Bombyx mori: one gene and its partners. The protein of the gene in region 1 binds, or shares a complex with, the protein of each later gene. Links are inferred from orthologs where the notes say so. Each region holds a gene or a part of one and is shown in the gene's direction. Other genes may lie near its edges. The genes, in order: bromodomain adjacent to zinc finger domain protein 1A, chromatin accessibility complex 16kD protein and DNA polymerase epsilon subunit 3.

Region 1 (3,661 bases):
CTGTCTGCTACCGTATGACGTCACAATAATCAAACTGATAGTTTTCTGTCATACAGCCAAGCGGTTAATTAATTTTATGAAAAATGCACGTTCCGTTGAAGCTATATAGCTAGTACGCAGATTTGTACATGGATGCACCCGGAATGTTGACGCTCTATCCTGATGCACTAAGATGATGTAGCACGGGATCACGCGAGGTCCCCCCCCCCGTGGCATGTCTCCCGTTCACCGTCATTGGTGCATTGTTCTTTCATTCATAAATCCTGTTCTTATTCTATTGCTTTTCTTTGGTTTACAACGTTCTTCGCAAAATGTTTACTTTATGCTTGGCAACCCTGTCGCGTAGGCCTTCATTGCGACATGTATCTTTACAATAAATCTCCCGTTGAACTATAGGAACTGTATGCTCGTCGCTGATAGTAGTGGCAATGCAAGAAGCCGACTGCCATCTTGAAATACACAGTAAAAGATCCTTATTCGCGCTTCCTTCGGTAGCGTTTTCACTATGCGCGGATTAAAAAAATGCGACCAAATTCCTATATTCGCGACTAAAGATTTCCTTATTCGCGGATCTAATTGATACATAGGTACGTATGCGTTGATAGACATGATTCCAATATAATAATATACTGACTACTTATCTTTTGAAAAAGCGTCGTCAAATGGATTAATAAAAAAGTAAAATGGACCTTATTACAACTTTGCCTAAAGTATATTTTTAAATGCGGACACGTGAGACGGAACGTTATGGATAAGAGCCGCTTTGCGTGTTTTATTGTTTGATATTTCCATTCGTTACAAAAATTGTGATAGACCATTCCGTATTCACGGTTTCTGTATTAGCGGTATATTTACGGAACATATAGCCCGCGAGTAAAGAGCTTTTACTGTAAAGAAAAGTCACATATCTTCGACATGACCCATATGTTCTTTCGTAAGCTCGCCTTGTGCATTCCCTGTTTTGTGACTTGAATGTTACTTTGATTCATGGCGAACAACCGTTAATCAGATTGCTTTTAATTTTAAACTAAACTATTGACATTTTCATTAGTACCCAATGACAACTCATATTTTACTGTTTATGTTTCTATAAAACACATAAAACTTCTTGTTTTAAGGGTGGGCTGTCCCATCTGTCCACATCGTTCATTGAGACCACTATTGAGATATTGACCTCATGTCTCAAAGTCGCATTGTTGTTGCGACTTCTATGCGCTTCTGTGAGCACTGACTACTTCGTAATTACCCATGTAGGTAATAGAAAATCTTCATTTCCGTCCCAAATAAAAATGCTTTATAGTAATAACAATGTCAGTAGCATGACTGCATGTGATAACGATAGATGTAGAAATCAAACTTCGTACACGCAAATGGATTATTAATTCATTTCCTTAATCACGATTTCCGAACTGATTCTTCTGTTTGTAACCATCAAACCATTGCTCATCTAAATAATTAGATTGCTTGTTAGAAATAGGACTTACCTTTCCTCTTTGTCAATTTGTAGAAATTAAGTTTGCTTTTTCCTAATATTGTTCCGTGATCTCATATTATTTACCTGCGCCGCCTAGTGAGTAGATATCTGACGTACAAACTAATATTTGAGAACAATAAATAGAAAGTTTATAAGGAAGATACAATTCTATAAAAAGCAATCAAGACTAGAAAGCTATTTAATTTGTGTTCTGCTTTATAGTGATTACTACTCACATGTAACAAATTACATTATTTTACTACAAAATTGGGACAAAAAAATGTGGAAGAGTAATTTTAAATGTTTTTCAATTTTTGTTTAACAAAGATTGTAGGCAATATCCATAGACTAAATATTGCTTCAAAAACATTATGCTGTGTGCCATCTATGAATTTGTTATATGATAAAAAAGTAAAAAAGATTATCAACAAGCAAGGTTAAAAAATTTAGTAACTTTTATTAAATAAATAAATATTGTACATATATTAAATTTTAATTGCTTTTTCATGTGTAGAGTCAGAAGACAGCGATTACAACACGACTCTGGTTAAACTGAAAAAGAGGAAACAGCGCCACAGCAACGACGCGGTGCCCCTGCAGAACGGGACCACCCCTCCTTCGGGGAAGAAACGCGGCAGGAAGTGAGTATTCATCACGCCCAGACCCTCGGGCGCTCGGTTTAAAGGTCGGCAGAGAGCTTTGACAAAACTCCTCATTCAGGGGCCCTTAGATGTTCTTGTTTAGGTACCTATAGTGCACAGACACAAAAGTGCCAAGCCCCCTTGTGTCCGTGAGATTGTCTGTCTGATTGATTGACTTGGATATTTTCTCACTCATGAAAGACATGATAATACTATGGTTGAATAATTTTGTTTTTAATGACAAATGACATTTTTTCTGCTTAAGGACAAGTAAATTAAGTAATTTACTTGTCCTTAAGCAGAAAAAATGTAAATGTAGGGTAAGTACCCTCTTTTTGGTTTTGGACTAGATAGCAGTATATCCCCCATAGTGCTTCTGTGTAAACAAACAATATTAATCTGCTAAATCAATCTTACCACACGTGTCAATTATTACACGTATATTTATTATAGATGAGACTTATTGTGTAAGCGAATTGACATTTCGGCGACTCTCACTGGTCATTGGTATCGGAGCTCTGACGAACTGTATTTGTTCACTTCCAGACCAAAACACGAGAAACTGAACATGAGCAACGGGAAAGATAGGAGATCGAAAAATTCCCTCACAAACGGAGTTCATGGTGAGTGCGGGGGGCGGCGCGGAACGCGGGGTGGTGGAGCCCCCGACACGACTGGACTGTTCTAAGTCGGTGGTTCACAGTTTGCTAAGTTGAATCAGGATACTAGTGTAAACACGTATCATTAATATGCTTCCTTAAAATTTATTTAAAAAACTTTTCTTTAACATCCCACATAAACTTTGAACCTTCTAATTTGGCATAACAAGAGTCGAGTTGTGTAACGTTTATCGGATCAGAACCAGGTTTATGCAACATCATCTTTCTTACTTGAACATGGTGGTGGAGCCGTTCGCGTCTTCATGACCCCTTACGAGAGTCCCCGTTCTGTCCGCAGAGGAGCGTGCGGCGCGCGGGCCTGACGCCGTGCAGCAGCTGCTGCGTGACGTCATCAAGCACAAGGACAGCTGGCCCTTCTACGAGCCCGTCTCCATTGAGGATGTGAGTCAAGCGCCAAGGCACCATAATCTCTTTTCTGGCCGGAGTTTTAACCTTAAGGTTCCCGCGCACGGGGGGCGCGCCACGTGTAGGACTCGGTGACCGAGGAAGCTAACTCCCCTGCGCTCGCCCGGTCTCCGTCGTGCTAGAGGGGACAAATAAAATAAAAAATATATTATTATCTTCTATTTATCGCAAATAATTTAATTTCAAATTGGGGAATGGATAAGTATTTCACAGCGTCATAGTATAGTGACTTCGCTGGATACGCGCGTCTTATCCTTTAGGCCACGGTGAAATTGTATTGTGCGGTTATAGTTACTTAGATTCTTTATTAATTAGATTAGATTTACTTATTATTCTATTACCTATTATTACTTAGATTAGATTTACCTATTATTCTATTACTTATTATTACTTAGATTAGATTATTTCTAAACTGTTTCGAAGTAACCATTTACTTAGCACGTATCATACACAGTTCATGC
Region 2 (4,347 bases), on another chromosome or scaffold:
AAAGTGGGCCAACTTTATGTCTAAACTTTTTGTACTTGAAAAACTATGCCTTATTTTTTCACGTGTTTTAGTTTATGTATCAACATTTCTTTCACCCTGGCATTGTTTTACAAAAAAAAAAAATACTTATTTGATAACACCCCAAAACTGAGGTGAATGAAGTTAGCCCCTCAAAAATTTCTTTTTTTCCTATTTTATACTTATTTTCTATTAATTCGTTTGTTCATCATTTGTTCATGATTGTTCACTGTTAATAATTGTTTGTTCTGCAGTTATTTATTTAAAAAAAATATTTAAAAATATACCTACAAGTTAGCCCCTCTAATGCAATTTTTAATATTTTTTCATCCTTAATAACTCGTAAATATTCATTTTCGATTGTTCTTATATAAAACACGTTTGTTCTCTTTCGAAATTACTCGTTTTTTGTTTAATTTACTATTTTTATTAGTTGAATAAATGTATGCAAAATATGTGTACTGCGCATGCGTCAACTATAATGCCTAAACTTTCTACGCGGTTTTAATCGTGAAAAAAAAAACAAATATAAATCCTGAAGGAGCAATTAATTGGTATACAGTTTAATTAAAAAAATTAAAAAATAAATAAATGAAATAATGTGCATTGGCGTTAAGTTAGAGCAAATACATTTTTTCCATCCTCCTACTTATCGTTATGAAGGTATAAAAAAGATAGGGAGTTCACATAGGTAATATAAACAAATAAGTAAATATGTTCATTATTTATCTTTCAAGAGATAATATAGGTATACATTATAATAACTTTTTTACACAGTCGAAATTATATTCCTAACATTAGTAAAATAACATTTTAATACGATAGGTAAGAGGATGGAAAAAATGTATTTGGTCTAACTTAACGCCAATGCACATTATTTCATTTATTTAATTTTTAATTTTTTTAATTAAACTGTATACCAATTAATTGCTCCTTCAGGATTTATATTTGTTTTCTTTTTCACCATTAAAACCACGTAGAAAGTTTAGGCATTATAGTTGACGCATGCGCAGTACACATATTTTGCATACATTTATTCAACTAATAAAAATAGTAAATTAAACAAAAAACGAGTAATTTCGAAAGATAACAAACGTGTTTTATATAAGAACAATCGAAAATAAATATTTACGAGTCATTAAGGATGAAAAAATATTAAAAATTGCATTAGAGGGGCTAACTTGTAGGTATATTTTTAAATATTTTTTTTAAATAAATAACTGCAGAACAAACAATTATTAACAGTGAACAATCATGAACAAATGATGAACAAACGAATTAATAGAAAATAAGTAGAAAATAGGAAAAAAAAATTTTTTTGAGGGGCTAACTTCATTCATCTCCAAAACTGAGTATGGCACAGTTTTTAAATTCGCCAATAGGCAAAGGGCTTAGCCCATACAGCCTTATAGTAAACCTATATGCTGCCAAACGAAAGAGTTGTCTGTGACTTGAACAACAAATTAAAAAAAATAGCTAATGGTTATAATTCACAGACTTTTTTAGTTTATTTTTGTTCAATTCAATTTTTATATATTGTAATAATAATTATTACTTTATATAATTATTTTTAGATATTAATGATTCCATTAGTAAAAATCTCAATGGCCTACCATTACTCTATTCTTATTAAATAATATGATCAGAGAGTTTTGGCGGCAACCCGAGTGAAGCGTCACTTGAAGTTTTATTTTAATGTTTTTTAATAGTTTATTGTGATGTATAATATATAAATTGGGTGTTGTTTTGTGTATTAGACGTCAATAATCGTTGTTCACGATTATTGAGGAATTGGAATAAAACTGTGGCTAACATAGCAGTGACTGTTTTTTTTTTCAAGATAAAAGATCTGCGGAAATTCACGCTCACTCACTTTGGACCCAACAAATCTTACAGAAAATTAAAATATTTAATGAGCAATGTTCCGCATGCCTTTCCGATTTACAAATGAAACAAAACAAAGTTTTTGATTTTGACGTTTAGTTTTGACTTCAGTTTAAAATGCTTAGAGATTCGCGGTCTGTTTTAAATAATCTATTTGAAATGAATTTTTAATAGTTCACCTATAAAATATTTCTAGTTAGTTTGTATTTCCTTTCGACTAAAACGATGGCTACCCCAAAAAGTGAAAAAGATCTGCATTTGCCCCTGTCCAGGGTTAAAACAATAATGAAAAGCTCACCGGACGTAGAAGCAGTTGGTCCAGAACCACTATATTTAGTCACTAAAGTTACAGTGAGTTTTCTAGAGGTTAACCTAAGTTAAACTAACCTAAACTTCCCAAGGCGATTTTTTTTTATTTATTACTTCGACGGTTGAACGTGCTCACGACCCACCTGGTGTTAAGTAGTTACTGGAGCCTATAGACCTCATCACTGTGTGAATGTCTCTACCCAACATGAGACATGAGGTTTCAATTGTATAGTGTAACAGCTGCCTCGCCCCTCAAACCGAAAATCATTACTGCTTCGCAGCCGAAATACCGATGTGCGCCCTACCGTAATGACTAGTTTTATGCAATTTTTTAAAATTTTATGAGTTTGATTTTTATTACACCAATTACTCCAATGATTGATGATATTCTATTTTGAATAGTCTGGACAGTATTTTATAGTACAACTGAGACTTAGATCTTATTTCGTAGGTTCTTAGAGTGGTGACAATCACATTGTGATAGCTATGGACTCCGATAAAGATTATAATCACACTAATTTCCAGGAATTGTTTGTAATGGATCTAGCAAAGAGGGCACACAAAAACAGTAATGCCAACTTCCTAGAATACAAACATATTGCTGATATTGTTCAAGAGGATGACACTTTAGACTTTCTCAGAGAGATCATGCCTCGAAAGATCACTGTGCGTCAATTCAAAGAGATGATGGCCAAGAAAGCTGCCAAGAACGGTGATGATTCAAGTGAAGACTCCAGTGAAGACAGCAGTGAAGACTCATCCAGTAACAATGAACAAGAGTGATAAGCTGTAAGTTAGAATAATTTAATTTACTAAATTTTTACTAAATTTTAATAAATAATTTAATTTAAGGACTAATACACTAATTTAGTTTTAAAATGCGTGTAGTCATAAATACTTTTCTCAAATATATTTAAGAAAAAAATTACATGTAAAGATCCTAAAAAAGTAAATAACTACACTGGAATTACTTGATGTAGAAGTCTAACTCATCAACCCTGGCAGTGATTTTTCGAATGTTACAGACTAAATCTTATTTATTTATTTTAAAACATAACAACATTCCCAATACACCAATAGTGGCCTGTTAGTGGATGCACAATGTTTTAAATAATTTAGCAAACTAGATGATCGTGATTTTAATCTTCAAATGTTATAATTTCAGGAACTACAAACACTAAGGGACAAATTCACAGACTGAAGAAAAGTGAAGAATTTAAACAGAAACAAATGTTGAGTGTCTCCTAATCTGTGCCAATAAGCCTATTCTGGCGTTGGGTTATTTTTATTAACTTAATTTTACAAATTGGTTTCTTTTCTTTCATGAAATGTAATAACATTTACAAATATTGTGCTCGTCAAGTATCATTTAATTGTGTCATTAAATTGATGATTGTGTCATTAAATGATAGAATTCTGCCTTTGCATGTTGTTTGTTAATCAAAATGTTATGCAATTAAAATTTGTATTACTTATGATTACTTTAAGTTTTTCAAATATTAAAGTGAAATAAATAACAGAAAGTTTATAAATTATATTGCTAAAACTTTGATCTGGTGTAATCTAAAAGTAATTGTCATTTCATGGACCATCTCAAACTATTTGTTGTGTGACACTTTTATCAAATAATTTCAACTATAATTAAGAGCACTGAAGTATGTTTCTCACAATATCTAAGGCATACAGGAGTATAATTGAGGCCGTCAACGCAAAAGTGGCCTAACCCACAATTTTTCATAATCATGTTTATAATTATGTATATTGCAATCTATTTAAAATATAATAAATTTTGATGCAAAACTGGCATATTCATAGTTTCACCCATAGGTAATAGATGACTGTAAACATTATTTTTGCCCCTATTGTTTTTTGCGTACTCAAATTTAAACTCGTGAAAATTTAAATATCTCTGCTCCATAATAACTATGGTAAGCTTTGGCCACTTTTGCGCTGACGGCCTCAATTGTCACATGAAGTTGGAGTTTCAACCATACAAGTGATTGAAACTCCAACTTCATGTGACAATTGAGGCCATCTGGACTCATAATTGCATTTGATCTGTGCTTAGTGCGAGTTTTGTAGATGTAGATTAAATATAGAATGAATTGTAAACATTTCATGTGAGTGGGATTTTTA
Region 3 (2,910 bases), on another chromosome or scaffold:
ATGTATTCACGTCATTCATTTTTAATTTTTCATCGATTTCTGTAAAACTAGGTCATTGACCTGTTTAGTTGATTCAGTTGTCAATTTCTATCTAAAAAGTAGATACCTATTATGTTTTAAAAACGAACTAACACGGACAACGTGTCCTTTGATACGCTAATATACGCTTTCATGGTAGTCAATGTATGCCTAGTAAATCTATGGTAAGCCTACTGATATATTTTATTATATTTTCTAAATAATGTTTTTAAGCACACTGGTCACTCGTAAATCAGCTGTTTACGGGTAACATGATAACGAACGCGAAGCTTTTGTGAACTGAAGGCCATGTTATTTTTTAAAGATGAAATTTTTATTGCTGTTCCTCCCTTCAAACCGGAATGCAATAATGCTTTGTGGCAGAAATGAGCAAGTAATTTCGTTCGTTTCTCATTATATCGACATCGTGCAAATCAAATAATTCTACAAACAACACGAGTGTTCGAACCATTGCTTTTTATTTTTATCAACAATCAACAAGGTTTCAAGCGAATTAAATGGCTGATTAAAATAACAGATTATCAGATTATAATAATTTAACCAAAAAATAATAGCGAAAATAAACTTTTACATACTTTTGAGTAATTTATTTTTTGACCGTGAATTATTTTGGATAATGGTGACTGCTAAATATTTTGAGTTAATTAGACGATAAAGTCGATTTCCCACCAAAGCATACAGTTTAAGTTTATCTCATATTGTCTTGATCTTTGCTGCACTACAAGCCCTCTTCTGGTCTGCATTCGTTAAATGGACATTATGCGTCATCATCAATGCGTGCTTTCTTGCCACCAGTGAATTAAAATTATCACGCAATCCTATATTTTTGTAATATTTTTGGAAAACAGATCGCAATGTTTTTATAGCATGTAACGTGAATAAGATTTGAGGTTTTAATTTTGAAGAATAATAGAAACGTTGAATAAACAACAAATAAACACGTGATAACGCTAAATACTAATTGTGAATTCGGTAGGCTACTACACTGCAGGATCTAACTGCTGGTATTGTCCCATCGTTTTATGTAACTTCACCGGGTATCTCATACAGCATAATAATATAGTTTAAGCCACGATACCTATGAAAACTTTGAAAAAAAGGCATTGTATTCCGAGTACCTATTTTTGAGACTTTTTGTAGCACGGCGACAGGCGGCAGTTACTAACCCTTGTATCCATAGATAATACACATAGAGAGTACTATCGTAACATTCGTAACTGTGTATAATCTATAACTGTGACTGTATGCTCCAATCAATGTCAAGAAATGTCATTAGTGCTTCTGGCGGTTAAATTAATGTTTTCATTTAATTCCAGATTTTATAAATAGGAACGTTATAAACAAAAATGGCTGAAAAACTCGAAGATTTGAATTTACCACTCACAGTTGTAACTAGAATCGTAAAAGAAGCTCTTCCCAGTGGCGTATCGATATCAAAAGAGGCGCGAACTGGCCTCGCTAAGGCGGCTTCAGTTTTTGTACTTTATGTGACTTCAGCAGCTACAAATATTGTTAAGAACAAAAAAAGGAAGGCTCTCACTGGGCAGGACGTGATAGATGCTATGAAAGACATCGAATTTGATAGATTTGTGGAACCTTTAGGAGAAGCTCTGGAACATTACAAGACCATGGCTTCGGCACGAAAATCCGCTTCTATGAAGAAAAAAGATGAACAAGAAGACGCTGAGATTATAGAAGACGATTGAATACTACTGCGACTTGAGTTTAAAATGTATAGTGGCGCTTAGTGGTGTATATTCAGAAACTGTGCTGAAAAACTATATGAAATAAGTTCAAAGAACCCATGCCTGTGTTACAAAAGTGATAAATGTTTAAATGAAACAAGTTTCCCATGAACATTTACAACAGTTACCTCGCAATAATTAATCAGTTGGTAATAATGTATGAAGTGTTTTAAAATTAAATAAACTTTTATTAAAAACAAGTAAACTTCAAAAGCATCCCAAAATGAATTGTGTCCACTTACTTTTACATCAGTAAATTAACTACAATTAAAACTTAGAACTTCTCAAAATTTGTTTTTGCAATTTGCTAAAATTAAAAGTATTTTATTTGATTTATTACTGATATTTTTCTAAACTTAATTTTTACTGCCATAAAAATTACTTAATGTTAGGTTATGTATGTATGTATGTTATGTAAATGTTACAATTATTACTAGATCTGGTCACACATCCTTTTAAAACTTGTAATTATAAGAAAATTTTGTTAGAATCTGGCTTTTCTATTATTTTTCAGTATTCTAGAATAGTCTCAAGAGAAATTAAAATAATGGTTATGTTTGTGTGAAAACCTCCAATTATTTTCATTCAATATATCATACAATATTCAATGCCCTGCTTATCTATGGTGGTAGTTCTCGAAACTTGGTAGTTTGTTTTGGCTTTTGTCAAGAGTGGGACATGACAACCAATTTGAATTAAATGATACGAAATATGAATCAAATGAGTCGACTATTATCAAAGCCGGCAATGTGACTTTTGGACAATTATTGGTAAATCAGAAAAACGAATTATTGACTTTGTATTCTGTTGGCAGTCACAAAACTCTTCTGAACGACATCTTAGATAAATAACAGGTTAAGTATTAACCTTTATTTAATGCAGGTTTTGAACCGTATTCTTTGAAGGAGACGATTATATTCAAATCAATCTGTATTGACATATCAATAACATTTTTTTGTCCAAATGCACAGATTGCCACCTTTGATAATAGACGACTCAAATACAATATAACATCATAGGATAAGATTCAAAATAAGTGTTTATAGGAAGTCTCAAAGTAGTTCCACTGACAAAGTAAAAAATGGAAGAATTATGGTATGGGCATGTTATGTGAATGACGATAATC

What was found.
Region 2: bromodomain adjacent to zinc finger domain protein 1A (region 1) and chromatin accessibility complex 16kD protein share a complex: the UniProt entries of both Homo sapiens proteins name them as parts of the CHRAC ISWI chromatin remodeling complex. The link is inferred for Bombyx mori from reciprocal best matches to the Homo sapiens genes BAZ1A and CHRAC1.
Region 3: bromodomain adjacent to zinc finger domain protein 1A (region 1) and DNA polymerase epsilon subunit 3 share a complex: the UniProt entries of both Homo sapiens proteins name them as parts of the CHRAC ISWI chromatin remodeling complex. The link is inferred for Bombyx mori from reciprocal best matches to the Homo sapiens genes BAZ1A and POLE3.

The regions. Positions count from the first base shown.
Region 1 is NC_085131.1:1,114,200-1,117,860, forward strand, and holds part of bromodomain adjacent to zinc finger domain protein 1A, read left to right. Parts: intron 1-1,988; coding exon 1,989-2,115; intron 2,116-2,661; coding exon 2,662-2,738; intron 2,739-3,072; coding exon 3,073-3,176; intron 3,177-3,661. UniProt on the Homo sapiens protein: Regulatory subunit of the ATP-dependent ACF-1 and ACF-5 ISWI chromatin remodeling complexes, which form ordered nucleosome arrays on chromatin and slide edge- and center-positioned histone octamers away from their original location on the DNA template to facilitate access to DNA during DNA-templated processes such as DNA replication, transcription, and repair.
Region 2 is NC_085111.1:17,749,507-17,753,853, reverse strand, and holds the start of chromatin accessibility complex 16kD protein, read left to right. Parts: upstream 1-1,539; 5' UTR 1,540-2,127; coding exon 2,128-2,253; intron 2,254-2,736; coding exon 2,737-2,994; 3' UTR 2,995-3,000; intron 3,001-3,376; 3' UTR 3,377-4,347. UniProt on the Homo sapiens protein: Forms a complex with DNA polymerase epsilon subunit POLE3 and binds naked DNA, which is then incorporated into chromatin, aided by the nucleosome remodeling activity of ISWI/SNF2H and ACF1.
Region 3 is NC_085130.1:7,455,788-7,458,697, reverse strand, and holds DNA polymerase epsilon subunit 3, read left to right. Parts: upstream 1-1,260; 5' UTR 1,261-1,385; coding exon 1,386-1,745; 3' UTR 1,746-2,274; downstream 2,275-2,910. UniProt on the Homo sapiens protein: Accessory component of the DNA polymerase epsilon complex. Participates in DNA repair and in chromosomal DNA replication.